3 linked regions of the Cricetulus griseus genome follow. The protein of the gene in region 1 purifies or fractionates together with the protein of each later gene. This does not show direct contact. Links are inferred from orthologs where the notes say so. Each region holds a gene or a part of one and is shown in the gene's direction. Other genes may lie near its edges. The genes, in order: Anapc2, Cdc27 and Anapc11.

Region 1 (3,747 bases):
CTTGGACTAGGACCAGGGCCTCCTTGGCAGCCCAAGGGGATACAGGAGCTTCCGAGAGAGGCCCCTCATGGAGCTAACCAGGAGCTCAGGGTCCCCATGACACATGTGAGTACAGAGCCAGGAACTCCTTTCCTATTGGACTGTCCTAGGGCTTTTCTTGTCACCCAAGGCAGGTGGAGGTCGGAAGTTGCCCCTCTGGGCACCTGAGATAGTGAGAAGGCATCTAAGGCCACGAAGAACAAAGATGCTTCAGGACAGACATGTTGGGGACTGGGCAGCCATAGGCCACGGCTGAGACAGCCACTTGTCAGCTGTCCTTGCCTCCACTACTCTTCTGGTCTGAGGCTGTGGCTTTAGTCAGGTTCCCAGCTTCCCTTTTGAGGACACTAAGCAGAGTCTGAGAGCTCTCCAGGATCTGGGGCCAGAGAAATAAAAGGATTGTTATTTCTCTGGTAGGAAGATCTCACCGCCGCAGCCACTCACTCTGGAAAATGGGAATCTCCATCTGGCCTGTGCTGAAACCAACCGGCCACGGGGGGTGGGGGGTAGGGTAATAGTTACACTCCCCAAACCCACCCTCCCTGCAAAGCCACGCTGCGTTAGTTCTGGCCCACACCATGTACTCTTTCCAATACACCGCCTGCTCACTCTCCTGGATCCCATAGACAGAACAGCCTCGGAACCGCAATGGGCCCGAGCCTGAGATCCTAGTGAGGCACTGACAGAGCACAGCTGAAAGCCCCACCTTGAGGTAGGCGGCCTCTGTCTCTGCGATGGTCCGGTCAAACTCGTTGCGAGAGGCGATCTTGCGCGCCAGGTTCTCGTTGACGCGGGCCAACTTCTCCGTCAGCTGCCTCACCTCATTCTGAAGCCGCTGCTTTTCATCCTCCTCCTGCTGGATCTGCCGGCACAGCTCCTCTCGCTTCTGACACAGCTCCTCGATGCCTAGGGTGGGCGGGAAGACAGAGCTGTGGGCTGGGGCTCGTGAGCTTCGGACCCCGACTAGCACCACACGGGGCAGGCCGCAGAGCGAGGCTCGTGAGGCGTGTCCGCGCGGCCTCCCGGGTGGGTCGGCCAGACCCTGGCCCGTGGCCCTTAGCCTCCCGTGCCCGTTGCTTACACTTGACCAACTCGTTGTTGTAGTTCTGCAGCGCCGCGCCCTGTTGGGTCATGGTCGGCGCCGCGTCCGGAAGCCTCAACCGCCGCCCGCACGGCCAGGCCTGCGCCTGCGCACTGCCCCCGCAGCGCGCGCGAACGCGGACGTCACAGCGGCGCGCCAGTCCCTTGCTTGCGTCATCACAGTGCGCTACATTGGGCGGGTCTGTTTTGTGGACGCTGATGGAGGCCGAGGCTGTAGCGGTGGCGGCGACGGCGGCGGCGGCGGCGGCGGCGGCGGCGGCGGAGGCAGTTGTCGCCGCCGATGACTGTGACTCTGGGCCTGGACAGGAGCTCTTGGTTGCTTGGAATACCGTGAGCACTGGTCTGGTGCCGCCGGCCGCACTGGGGCTGGTGAGGCCTGGGGAATGGTTGGCGGGCCTGTGTGGCGTTGCCTCGACTCTGCATGCTTTAGGTTTAGGGAGTCCATCTAAAGTCCTGTAGGGGACTCGCCTCCTTCCTCAGCTATCTGATTTGTTTGGTTCCTCCTGCAGCCTTTGGCTGCTGAGTTTTTTTTCTTTTTCTTATTCTTCTTTCATTTCCCTCCCCTCCTTTTACCTCTACCTCGCCCCTCTGCTCCAGGCATCTTCTCGTACCAGCGGTGCGGTTCCACCAAAGGAGGAAGAGCTCCGTGCAGCGGTGGAGGTTCTGAGGGGCCATGGTCTTCACTCAATCCTGGAGGAGTGGTTTGTGGAGGTGCTGCAGAACGACCTGCAGGGCAACATTGCCCCAGAGTTCTGGAATGCCATCGCCCAGCGCGAGAACTCTGTTGATGAACCCCAATGCCTTCTACTGCTCCTGGATGCGTTCGGCCTCCTGGAAAGCCGCTTGGATCCCTACCTGCATAGCCTAGAACTCCTAGAGAAATGGACTCGTCTGGGCTTGCTGATGGGCACTGGAGCTCAGGGGCTTCGGGAGAAAGTTCATACCATGTTGCGGGGTGTCCTGTTCTTTTCCACCCCCAAGGCATTTCAGGAAATGGTCCAGCGTCTCTATGGCCGTTTCCTGAGAGTCTATATGCAGAGCAAGAGAAAAGGAGAAGGGGGCACAGACCCCGAACTAGAGGGTGAGCTAGACAGCCGGTATGCCCGCCGAAGGTACTACCGACTCTTGCAGAGCCCTCTATGTGCAGGATGTGGCAGTGACAAACAGCAGTGCTGGTGCCGACAGGCACTGGAGCAGTTCCACCAGCTCAGCCAGGTCCTGTGAGTACTGCCTCCTCGGCCATGCCCCAGTTTCTTTGGATGCCCCATTTGTTCTGAATTCAGTAGACCTCTGTGTAGAGCTAGTGACAGGTGAGGTCTTTTTCCATTTTTACTTGCTGCCAAGAATTATTTTGGTTTTTCAAGACAGAGTTTCTCTGTGTAACAGTCCTGGCTGTCTTAGAACTCACTTTGTTGAGTTCCAGGTTGGCCTGGAACTCTCAAAGATCTGCTTGCTTCTACCTCCCAAGTGCAGGGATTAAAGGTGTGTGCCACCACTCTCCTGGACATAGGTATAGGGTATAGAAGGGCCCTCCTAGGTAAGGGACAGGTGTGTGTTGTGGGTTCTCCATGAGCAGGGATTTCCTCCAGGCATAGACTCAGTCTGCTGGAGAGGGTCAGCGCTGAGGCCGTAACCACCACCCTGCACCAAGTGACTCGGGAAAGGATGGAAGACCGCTGCCGGGGAGAGTATGAACGCTCCTTTCTTCGTGAGTTCCATAAGGTGAGACTTCTCCCTGGACTGTGACCTGTCAAGGGCAAAAGTGGACTTTCTGCAGACCTGATTGCAAGAAGTAGGCAGATTGACCAGGAGTAGTGATAGCTGAAGTTATCTTGGTGCTGTTTAGAGGCCAATCCTGGACCCTGGTGACAAGGACAAATCTGGTATGTACTAAATAGGCCTGTGCAGAATCCTATAGCTAGAAACAGAATCCTGGGCCAGAGGTGGTTCCAAGGGATTTCCCCAGACAGATATGGCAAGACAGGCCCACCAGACCCTTTTCTTTCCATTGCCCTATAAAATGTGTGCTCACTTAACAGTTCCTTCTGGATTAACCCACAGTCTGTACCCTAGCATGGAGTTAGGGTGTCTCAGTGAAGGCCTCTGGTTGCCGATAATATTGAGGTATGGTATGTAATTCTGCTATGGGGTTCCCAGCATTGTGGAAAAGCTAGGTTCAGCCCCATGAAGCTGTCCACCCTGTTTCTGCTTCACTCCTGACCTCCCATTTTTCAAGTATCTATCCCCTGTGGATGCCTGTTAGCCATGATGGGAAATGTTCAGAGTGGGTGTCCCCATAGTGATCATGAGCCTAGAGTCATGAGCCTGCAAGCTCTTGGGGCAGCCACATTGAGCCTTGGGCAGTGGAGTGCAGGTTTGGTGGCTCCTCTAGGGTCCTGTCAAAGGCATATGGCTACTGGGTCAGGCTGGATCATTTAAGTGTTATTACACCTCATACACTAATGATCTTCCACAGTGGATCGAGAGAGTGGTTGGTTGGCTTGGCAAAGTGTTTCTTCAGGACAACACTACCAGGCCAAGTTCTCCAGAAGCAGGGAACACACTGCGCCGTTGGCGCTGCCACGTACAGAGATTCTTCTACCGTAT
Region 2 (3,647 bases), on another chromosome or scaffold:
CATGCTATGCACTCAGGCCAAGATTGCAGCGTTACCTGGGTCTAGACTGACTGGCAGTTGTGAGCCACCCAGAATGGGCACTAGGAACAAAGCTTGGGTCCTCTAGGTGAGCATCAAGTACTTTTAACCAGTGAGCCATTCTGTTAGCTTCTTAATTTTTAAATTCTGAGTTTTCGTAGAGACCCAAAAGGAACTAAACAGAACCAGTTTTAAAATATTTCTATGATGAATGCATGTTTTAATAAAATAGAATTGAGACAATAGTTAATGGTCATAAGCTAAATATTAAACGTTTCTGTTTGTTTTAGTACAACACCTCAGGTATTGAGCCCCACTATTACATCTCCCCCAAATGCATTGCCTCGAAGGAGTTCCCGCCTTTTCACTAGTGACAGCTCAACAGCCAAGGTAAGGATGACTGTCATGGTCATTTACTGTGCTAAGATTTCTGTGCATTGCTTGGCCCCATCTCAAGCAAGCAAAGGGTTTGTTTTCACCTTGTTTAGAGGACTCCCTATGGAGCTCAGGCTGGTCTGGGAATTTGCCGTCCTCCTGCTTTAGCTTCTCGGGTGCTGGGACTACACAGGTGCACCACCATGCTGTACTAAATCATTTTTACGTGGTGAGCTAGCTATAATTTTTGTTGCTCTCTTTGGTTCTTGGGTAAATATGTCATTCTTGAAATGACCAAATTATAATAAAAATGTCAGCGTCTTAATCAGGAAATAAGGCTGGAGGGAAGATAAAACTATTTAAATGTAGTACAAATGGATTTTTTGTTCTGGAAGAATAATCCTATATCATAAATGTTGTGGTTGCTTGCACAAATGCATTTGTTTGATAAAATTACTCTATATATACACATGCAAAAGAATTGATATAAGTGCTGGGAAATGTCCATGGTTCTGTAGCTTACATGTTACCACTGAGGAAAGAATGAGTGGAGATTTAGTCACGTTACTATCTTCCTAGAATTACTTTAAAGGTAAAAGCAAAAGATGAGAGAACGCTTTGTTTCTTGGTCTTCTGACTGACGTGAATAATTTACCTTTGATACATCCAGTTAGTGGTTTTATACAATTGATTACAGTGCTTTGATATAGTTAATTTTGCATTTTGTTACTTTTAAATAGTGATTTGAGAATGTGATCCACTCTGAAGAGAGCTGCCCTTGGTGCAGAATAACATCAGTCACTATTAATTGTGTGGCTTATTGTTGTATTTAAAATGAAAATGACTGGGCTGTTGACTCATTCCTGTGATTCTAATATTTGGGAGACTAAAATATGAGTATTGCTTCAAATTTTAGGTCAGCATGAGCCAAAAAGTAAGACCTTGTCTCAAAACAAAAAACAAGCAAAAAAAAAAAAATTGCTTTTTGAAGACTTTTTTTTTACATATAGAATTTCTGATAAGGAAAACAAAAGACTGTTGAGGATTATGCATTTCTTTTACATGAGTACTCAAGAAAACGTAAATGGAGACATCTAAAATAATGAGTATGACAAGCATGACATTTTATCCCTTTTTACAGGAGAATAGCAAAAAGCTAAAAATGAAGTTTCCACCTAAAATCCCAAACAGAAAAACAAAAAGTAAAACTAACAAAGGAGGAATAACTCAACCCAACATAAATGATAGTCTGGAAATTACAAAATTGGACTCTTCTATCATTTCAGAAGGGAAATTATCCACAATCACTCCTCAGATCCAGGCCTTTAACCTACAGAAGGCAGCTGCAGGTCTGTTGTAAATGTTTCTGTGGTTCTTGTGTCTTTAGTTTATTATACACTTATTTTGATAAGTTTCTTCATGCCTTCATTGTTCTTAGATAAATACTGGCATTAAAAATGTTCGGTTTTATGTTTTTAAATTTGTGTCCTTTTTTGTATTTCTGTTGAATATATATGCCTACAGAAGCCAAAATAGGTGTGAATCCTATACTGGAATTACAGATAGATGATTGTGGGCTGCCATGTGGATTCTGGGAACTGGATGGAAAATGCTCTTAACAACTGAGCACCCTTAAAACATTTTTAAATTGTATTTGAGAGAAAGATTGTGTGTGCGCATGTGTGCATGTATAGGTTAGTCATGGGAATCAAACTTGGGTCACCCGGCTTGGTGGCAAGAGCCTTTAACCACCAAGCCATCTTGCCAACCAGATACTGGAACTATATTTTAAAGGAGTAATCTGGTTAGCTTTTTTAGAAAACCACAGTTGTGTTTTTCTCCTTTGTTTATTATATTGTTTTCTCCTAGAAGGTTTGATGAGTCTTCTTCGTGAAATGGGAAAAGGTTATTTAGCTTTGTGTTCATACAACTGCAAAGAAGCTATAAATATTTTGAGCCACCTACCTTCTCACCACTACAGTACTGGTTGGGTATTGTGCCAAATTGGACGAGCTTATTTTGAACTTTCAGAATACATGCAGGTAAGTATACAAAGATGCCAGTCCTTCAACTTTTTTTAGTAGTATTTTTTTATTTTCCTGTTTGTATAGATCATAATCACTTGCTTGTTGTTTGTTTGTATAGCTAATGCTTGCTTTGAATTCACTGTATTCTTCCTGCTAGCCTTGAAATCACAGGCATGTGCCACCACACCTGGATCTTTGTAATTGCTTTCCATTTTTATTTTATTTTTGGGAGGCAAGACCTTGCTATGGGCTCACCTTGAGCTCACTGTGTGGCCCAGGCTGGCCTCACACTTGCCACATTCCTCTTCCTTTAGCCTTCATTCCTAGGTAATAATCACTTTTGAAAGATTTCAATAGTTTCTGAAAACTTTGAAGGCAAAAGATACCTGTATATGGCCAATTGCTGTGTCTTATATAGCCTGTGGGGATTCACACACACACACACACACACACACACAGGGTTTCTCTGTGTATCTTTGGAGCCTATCGGCACTGGAGACCAGGCTGGCCTTGAACTCACAGAGATCCACTTGCCTCTGCCTTCCGAGTGCTGGGATTAAAGGCGTGAGCCACCAATGCCCGGCATTGTTGTTGTTTTTTAAGATATATTTATTTATTATTTATTTATTTTGTATTCAGTGTTCTGCCTGCATGTATGTCTGCAGGCCAGAGGAGGGCACCAGATCTCATTACAGATGGTTGTGAGCCACCAGGTGGCTGCTGGGAATTGAACTCAGGACCTTTGGAAGAATAGCCAATGCTCTTAATCACTGAGCCATCTCTCCAGCCCCCTTTTGGAAGTTCCTAGCATACAACTTTTAAGAGAATTGAGATAACTTACAAAACAGCAAATTGACTCTAGATGCCAAATCAAGATGTTTTGGCAAAAGTTTCCAATTTTATAAATGTCCTTTCCTGTAGCTGGAGAATGACTCAATAGCTAAGAACGCTTGCTATACTTGGAGAGATCCAGTTACCAGCACCCACATCAGCTCACAACAGTCTATAACTCCACCTCCAGGAGATCTGATGCCCTCTCTGGCCCTGGGTACCCACATACATGTGGCATACATAGACAAAAGTAGATATTTCAAACAAAAGCCCTTTTCTTATTTTCTGTCATCTTCATTTCATTGAATACAGTCCAAATACTGAATTAAACATTTAAATGTTTTGAATTTACTAAGGTGATGAAACTAGATGATTTGTTGGATTTATAGAGTTTTT
Region 3 (3,747 bases), on another chromosome or scaffold:
GAGAGACAGACAGACAGACAGACAGACAGACAGAAAAAAAGACTTCAACCAAAGGTATGAGAACAATGCCCCTGGTAAGACCCAGGAAAGGTCAGTCTGGAAGACACACAGCCACCATTCACCCCTGTGCCTTCAGACATGTGGGGGTGGGGAGAGTTTTCCTTCTCATAAGCTTACTACTACAGGCACAAAGCCTGAGAAGCTAGCACCCTCGGTCACACAGGGACCGGACTTGTGGCCAGTCTGTGCCCGTTAGAAACTGTAAGCCTTGCAGACGGCAGGTGCTCGTGACGTTAGCAGACAAGAGCCACTCTGGGGGCACACCAGGCTGCCTTCCAAGCAGCCTGACCTATCAGTCACATTCAAACCCCAGGGGATACTACTTTTTGTGAGGGCAGCGGCTGGCCCTTGGGCAGCCTGGGGGAGCACAGGCTCTGATCAGAAGGGATTCTGTGTGTGGGGATAAGCATGCGGACGGCTCTGGTCTCTTACCTGAATATCTGCGTCTGACACTCCAAAGTCAAGGTTTGACACCAACAGTTTTCCGCCGGTCTCCACGCCGGCTCCACCCCCGAAGCCGCTGTCGAACAGATCGTGCTGCCATTTGTCTGGAAGTTGTTTCGGCTGAAGGGAAAGAGAGGTTCGTGAGCGACCTCGTCTCGGGCGCCCCGATCCCTCCCCGGCACTCACACTCTCTCTCTCACGGCGGCCCGAGAGCCCGGAGGAGACGACCCCCACGCCCGCCGCTCCGCCGCCACGAGGCGGGACCGGACCGGACAAAGCGTCCCGGAAGATCCCGGCCTGTGACCGGGGCCTCGCTCACCGCGCGGCGTCGCCCCCGCCCACCCTCCGTTCCGTTCCGTTCCCGCGGTTCCCGCAGGACGCCCGCCCGCCCGCCTCAGGGCGCCGGGAGCCCGCCCCGCCGGCGCCGCGCCTCCCGTGCTCACCCTGCTGTAAGGAGCCGGCCGGTTCCTGCCGCCGGCGGCGGCGCCGCGAGAGATGGCGGGCCGGTTCCTCAGAGGCCCGCCGCCTCGGTTCACCCGCGCGGCCGCCTGCACCGCCCCGCCGCGGCCGCCCTGGGCGCCGGCCCTGCCACGGCCCCTGCCTCCGCCGCGGCCGCCTCGCTGGCTCCGGTTCAGCTTGATAATATCGTCCAAAGACATGTCCATTTTGTCGGCCATGGCGGGCGCGGAATCGGGCCTCAGATCGAGCCCGCGCGTCAGCACGTCGCTAGGTCACTTCCGGAGCTTCCCCTGGTCTTCCGGCGTCGCGGCCCCCGAAGCTGCCCCTGATTGGCCTCGGCGCGCGCGGAGAGCGGAGGGCGCCTGCGCTGCGCTCAGGAGGACGGCCCGCGCGAGTGTGTGGCGCCCGGCGCGGCGCGGTCGTTTTTATACCTCCCGCGCTCCTGCAACGGAAGGGCGGGGCGCCGCGAGATTAGGTGGAGTGGGCGAGGCGTGGGCGGGGCCTGGCCTGGGATCCGCCCTGCGCAGGCCGGAAGGCGCCGGATCGAGTTCGGTCCGTCCGCCCGCCGAGTCCCTGAGCTGCGAGGCGGGGGGCCGATCTGTGGATCCGATTTGGGGTTTGTGGGCTCGAAGGGATGGTTTTTTAAAATTTAATTTTATTTAAATTTAGCAAGCTGATGGCTTGTCACGCGCGGGTTGTGAGTGAAAACCGAGGTGTTTTTCATGGATGCAGTGGTTTTTGTTTTTGTTTTCCTCCTTTGGTTTTGGGCGGATCTGCCTCCGCGGCGCTGAGGTTAAAGGCGTGAGCCAGCCTGGCCCGCTACCTGGGTGCACAGCTCTAAAAACGACCTTCAACATAGCAAAACAACTTGGGAGCCTGGCTCCCTGGAGGCGCCTAGCACGCAGCTCCCCGCCTTAAATGCTCAAGTGCCGTCTGTGGTAGTAATACAGAGTAACTTTAGCCAGGAAACCCTCTTCCCTCAGGTCGCACGCTCTGCTGCCATGAAGGTGAAGATTAAGTGCTGGAATGGTGTGGCCACGTGGCTCTGGGTAGCCAACGATGAGAACTGTGGCATCTGCAGGATGGCGTTTAATGGCTGCTGTCCAGACTGTAAGTGCCCCCCCTCCCCCGTGCTCTCAGAACTTCGGCCAGCTCCACCAGCCTTGAAAACCTTGGGTTTCCCAGCACTAGGGAGGCAGAGGCAGGAGGATCTCCGAGATTCCAGGACAGCTAGGGCTACGCTGAGAAACCCTGTCTCGAAAAACTAAGAAAACCAGAAAATAAAACCGTGGGTTTTACTTTCCATTTCCTGAAGGAAAGTTGACAGAAAATAAACGAATTCTTCAAACTCACTTTTGTATAAAGACCCTATCCAGCATGGTGGCAAACATCTGTAATACCAGCATTTGGGAGCAGAAACAGGTAGCCTCTGAGTTGGAGGCTACATAATGAGAGTCTGTCTGTAAAAACAAAGAAAAGCAAATAAACAAAAACAACACTTTTGTTTTTGCCAAGGCATGGTGGCACAGACAGAGGCAAGAGGAGGCTTGAGTTTGAAGCTTGCCTGGGATACATTGTGATGATTGGTCATTCTCTTAATTCCTCAAAATGCTACTTCCAGTTTGAATTTTCTCCAAGCAAAGCAGAACAAATGAGGATACCCCTGCCCAGCACACTGAAGTTCAGACAGCAGTTTCCATACTTTAAGTTGATGCTTATAAACTATGAGCAACTTAAGCCCCGTGTCTCACAAAGCTGCTCTAGCATCCTCGTTCCAGCATCTTTCCCCAAATGTCTTGTTATTGGGGTTTGAGCCATTCTTGACATCTCAGGACTCTCAGCTCTCTGTTCTAAATACTTCTTACTATTCTTGTTTTCCAGGCATTTGAGCTTTATGAATTTAATGTTTTTCAGAATGCAAAAGGTCTTTATTTATTTATTTATTTATTTATTTATTTAGAGACAGGTTCTCAGTATGTAACCCTGGCTAGATTGAAACTCATTATGTAGATCAAAGGTCACAGAGATGCCTGCCTCTGCATCCAGAGTGCTGGGATTAAAGGTATGAACCAATGTGATCTCCCAGCCTGGTTTATCAGCCCAGAGTTAATCATCTTGATGCAATTAAAGAGCTGTGACTTGACTTTTTTTATTAATTTATATTTTACATTCGAATCCTAGTTCCCCCTTCTGCTCCTCCCACTCCCCCCCCATCTGCTCCTTGGAGAGGGTAAATCCTCCCCTAGGAAGTCTACTAAGTCTCCCCTATCATCTTCTTGAGGCAGGACCAAGGCACCTCTCCACCCCCACACCCCTGTGTCTAGGCTGGGCAAGCTATCTCTCTATAGAGAATGGGCTCCACTGAGTCAGTTTGTGTATTAGATTAGCTCTTGGACCCACTGCCACTGGCCTCATATTTGTCATTTGTCTTTTTTTTTTTTTTTTTTTTTTTTGAGACAGGATTTCAGTATGTAACCCTGGCTAGCTTGAAACTCACTATGTAGATCAGTCTGGTCTCAAGATAAAAGAGATCCGCCTGCGTCTGCATCCAGAGTGCTGGGATTAAAGGCGTGTACAGCTCAGATCACCTAACCTGGTTTATTGGCTAAGAGTTAATTATCTTGATGTAATCAAGATAATTATCTTGATGTAATTAAAGAGTCTCTTTTCCTTTTCTTTTTTGATTTTTAAGACAGGGTTTCTTAGAGTCCTGTGCCACCACTGCCCAGCAAGTGTGAGTTTCTTAGGAATTCATTGATTTTTCTGGTTTAAGTTTTTATTTAT

The links.
Region 2: the proteins of Anapc2 (region 1) and Cdc27 purify together in Homo sapiens (affinity purification with western blotting; 20 studies listed by BioGRID and IntAct, with this or other methods). This does not show direct contact. The link is inferred for Cricetulus griseus from reciprocal best matches to the Homo sapiens genes ANAPC2 and CDC27.
Region 3: the proteins of Anapc2 (region 1) and Anapc11 purify together in Homo sapiens (affinity purification with western blotting; 7 studies listed by BioGRID and IntAct, with this or other methods). This does not show direct contact. The link is inferred for Cricetulus griseus from reciprocal best matches to the Homo sapiens genes ANAPC2 and ANAPC11.

The regions. Positions count from the first base shown.
Region 1 is NC_048599.1:136,623,101-136,626,847, forward strand, and holds the start of Anapc2 (anaphase-promoting complex subunit 2), read left to right. Parts: upstream 1-1,312; 5' UTR 1,313-1,338; coding exon 1,339-1,509; intron 1,510-1,737; coding exon 1,738-2,360; intron 2,361-2,729; coding exon 2,730-2,862; intron 2,863-3,616; coding exon 3,617-3,747. Other genes in the region: Ssna1 (Sjoegren syndrome nuclear autoantigen 1), read right to left, coding at 308-415, 746-945, 1,121-1,172. UniProt on the Homo sapiens protein: Together with the RING-H2 protein ANAPC11, constitutes the catalytic component of the anaphase promoting complex/cyclosome (APC/C), a cell cycle-regulated E3 ubiquitin ligase that controls progression through mitosis and the G1 phase of the cell cycle.
Region 2 is NC_048600.1:117,544,982-117,548,628, reverse strand, and holds part of Cdc27 (cell division cycle protein 27 homolog), read left to right. Parts: intron 1-308; coding exon 309-408; intron 409-1,534; coding exon 1,535-1,742; intron 1,743-2,262; coding exon 2,263-2,435; intron 2,436-3,647. UniProt on the Homo sapiens protein: Component of the anaphase promoting complex/cyclosome (APC/C), a cell cycle-regulated E3 ubiquitin ligase that controls progression through mitosis and the G1 phase of the cell cycle.
Region 3 is NC_048600.1:133,092,594-133,096,340, forward strand, and holds the start of Anapc11 (anaphase-promoting complex subunit 11), read left to right. Parts: upstream 1-1,301; 5' UTR 1,302-1,438; intron 1,439-1,451; exon of another isoform or gene 1,452-1,595; intron 1,596-1,946; 5' UTR 1,947-1,964; coding exon 1,965-2,073; intron 2,074-3,747. Other genes in the region: Alyref (THO complex subunit 4), read right to left, coding at 493-624, 948-1,181. UniProt on the Homo sapiens protein: Together with the cullin protein ANAPC2, constitutes the catalytic component of the anaphase promoting complex/cyclosome (APC/C), a cell cycle-regulated E3 ubiquitin ligase that controls progression through mitosis and the G1 phase of the cell cycle.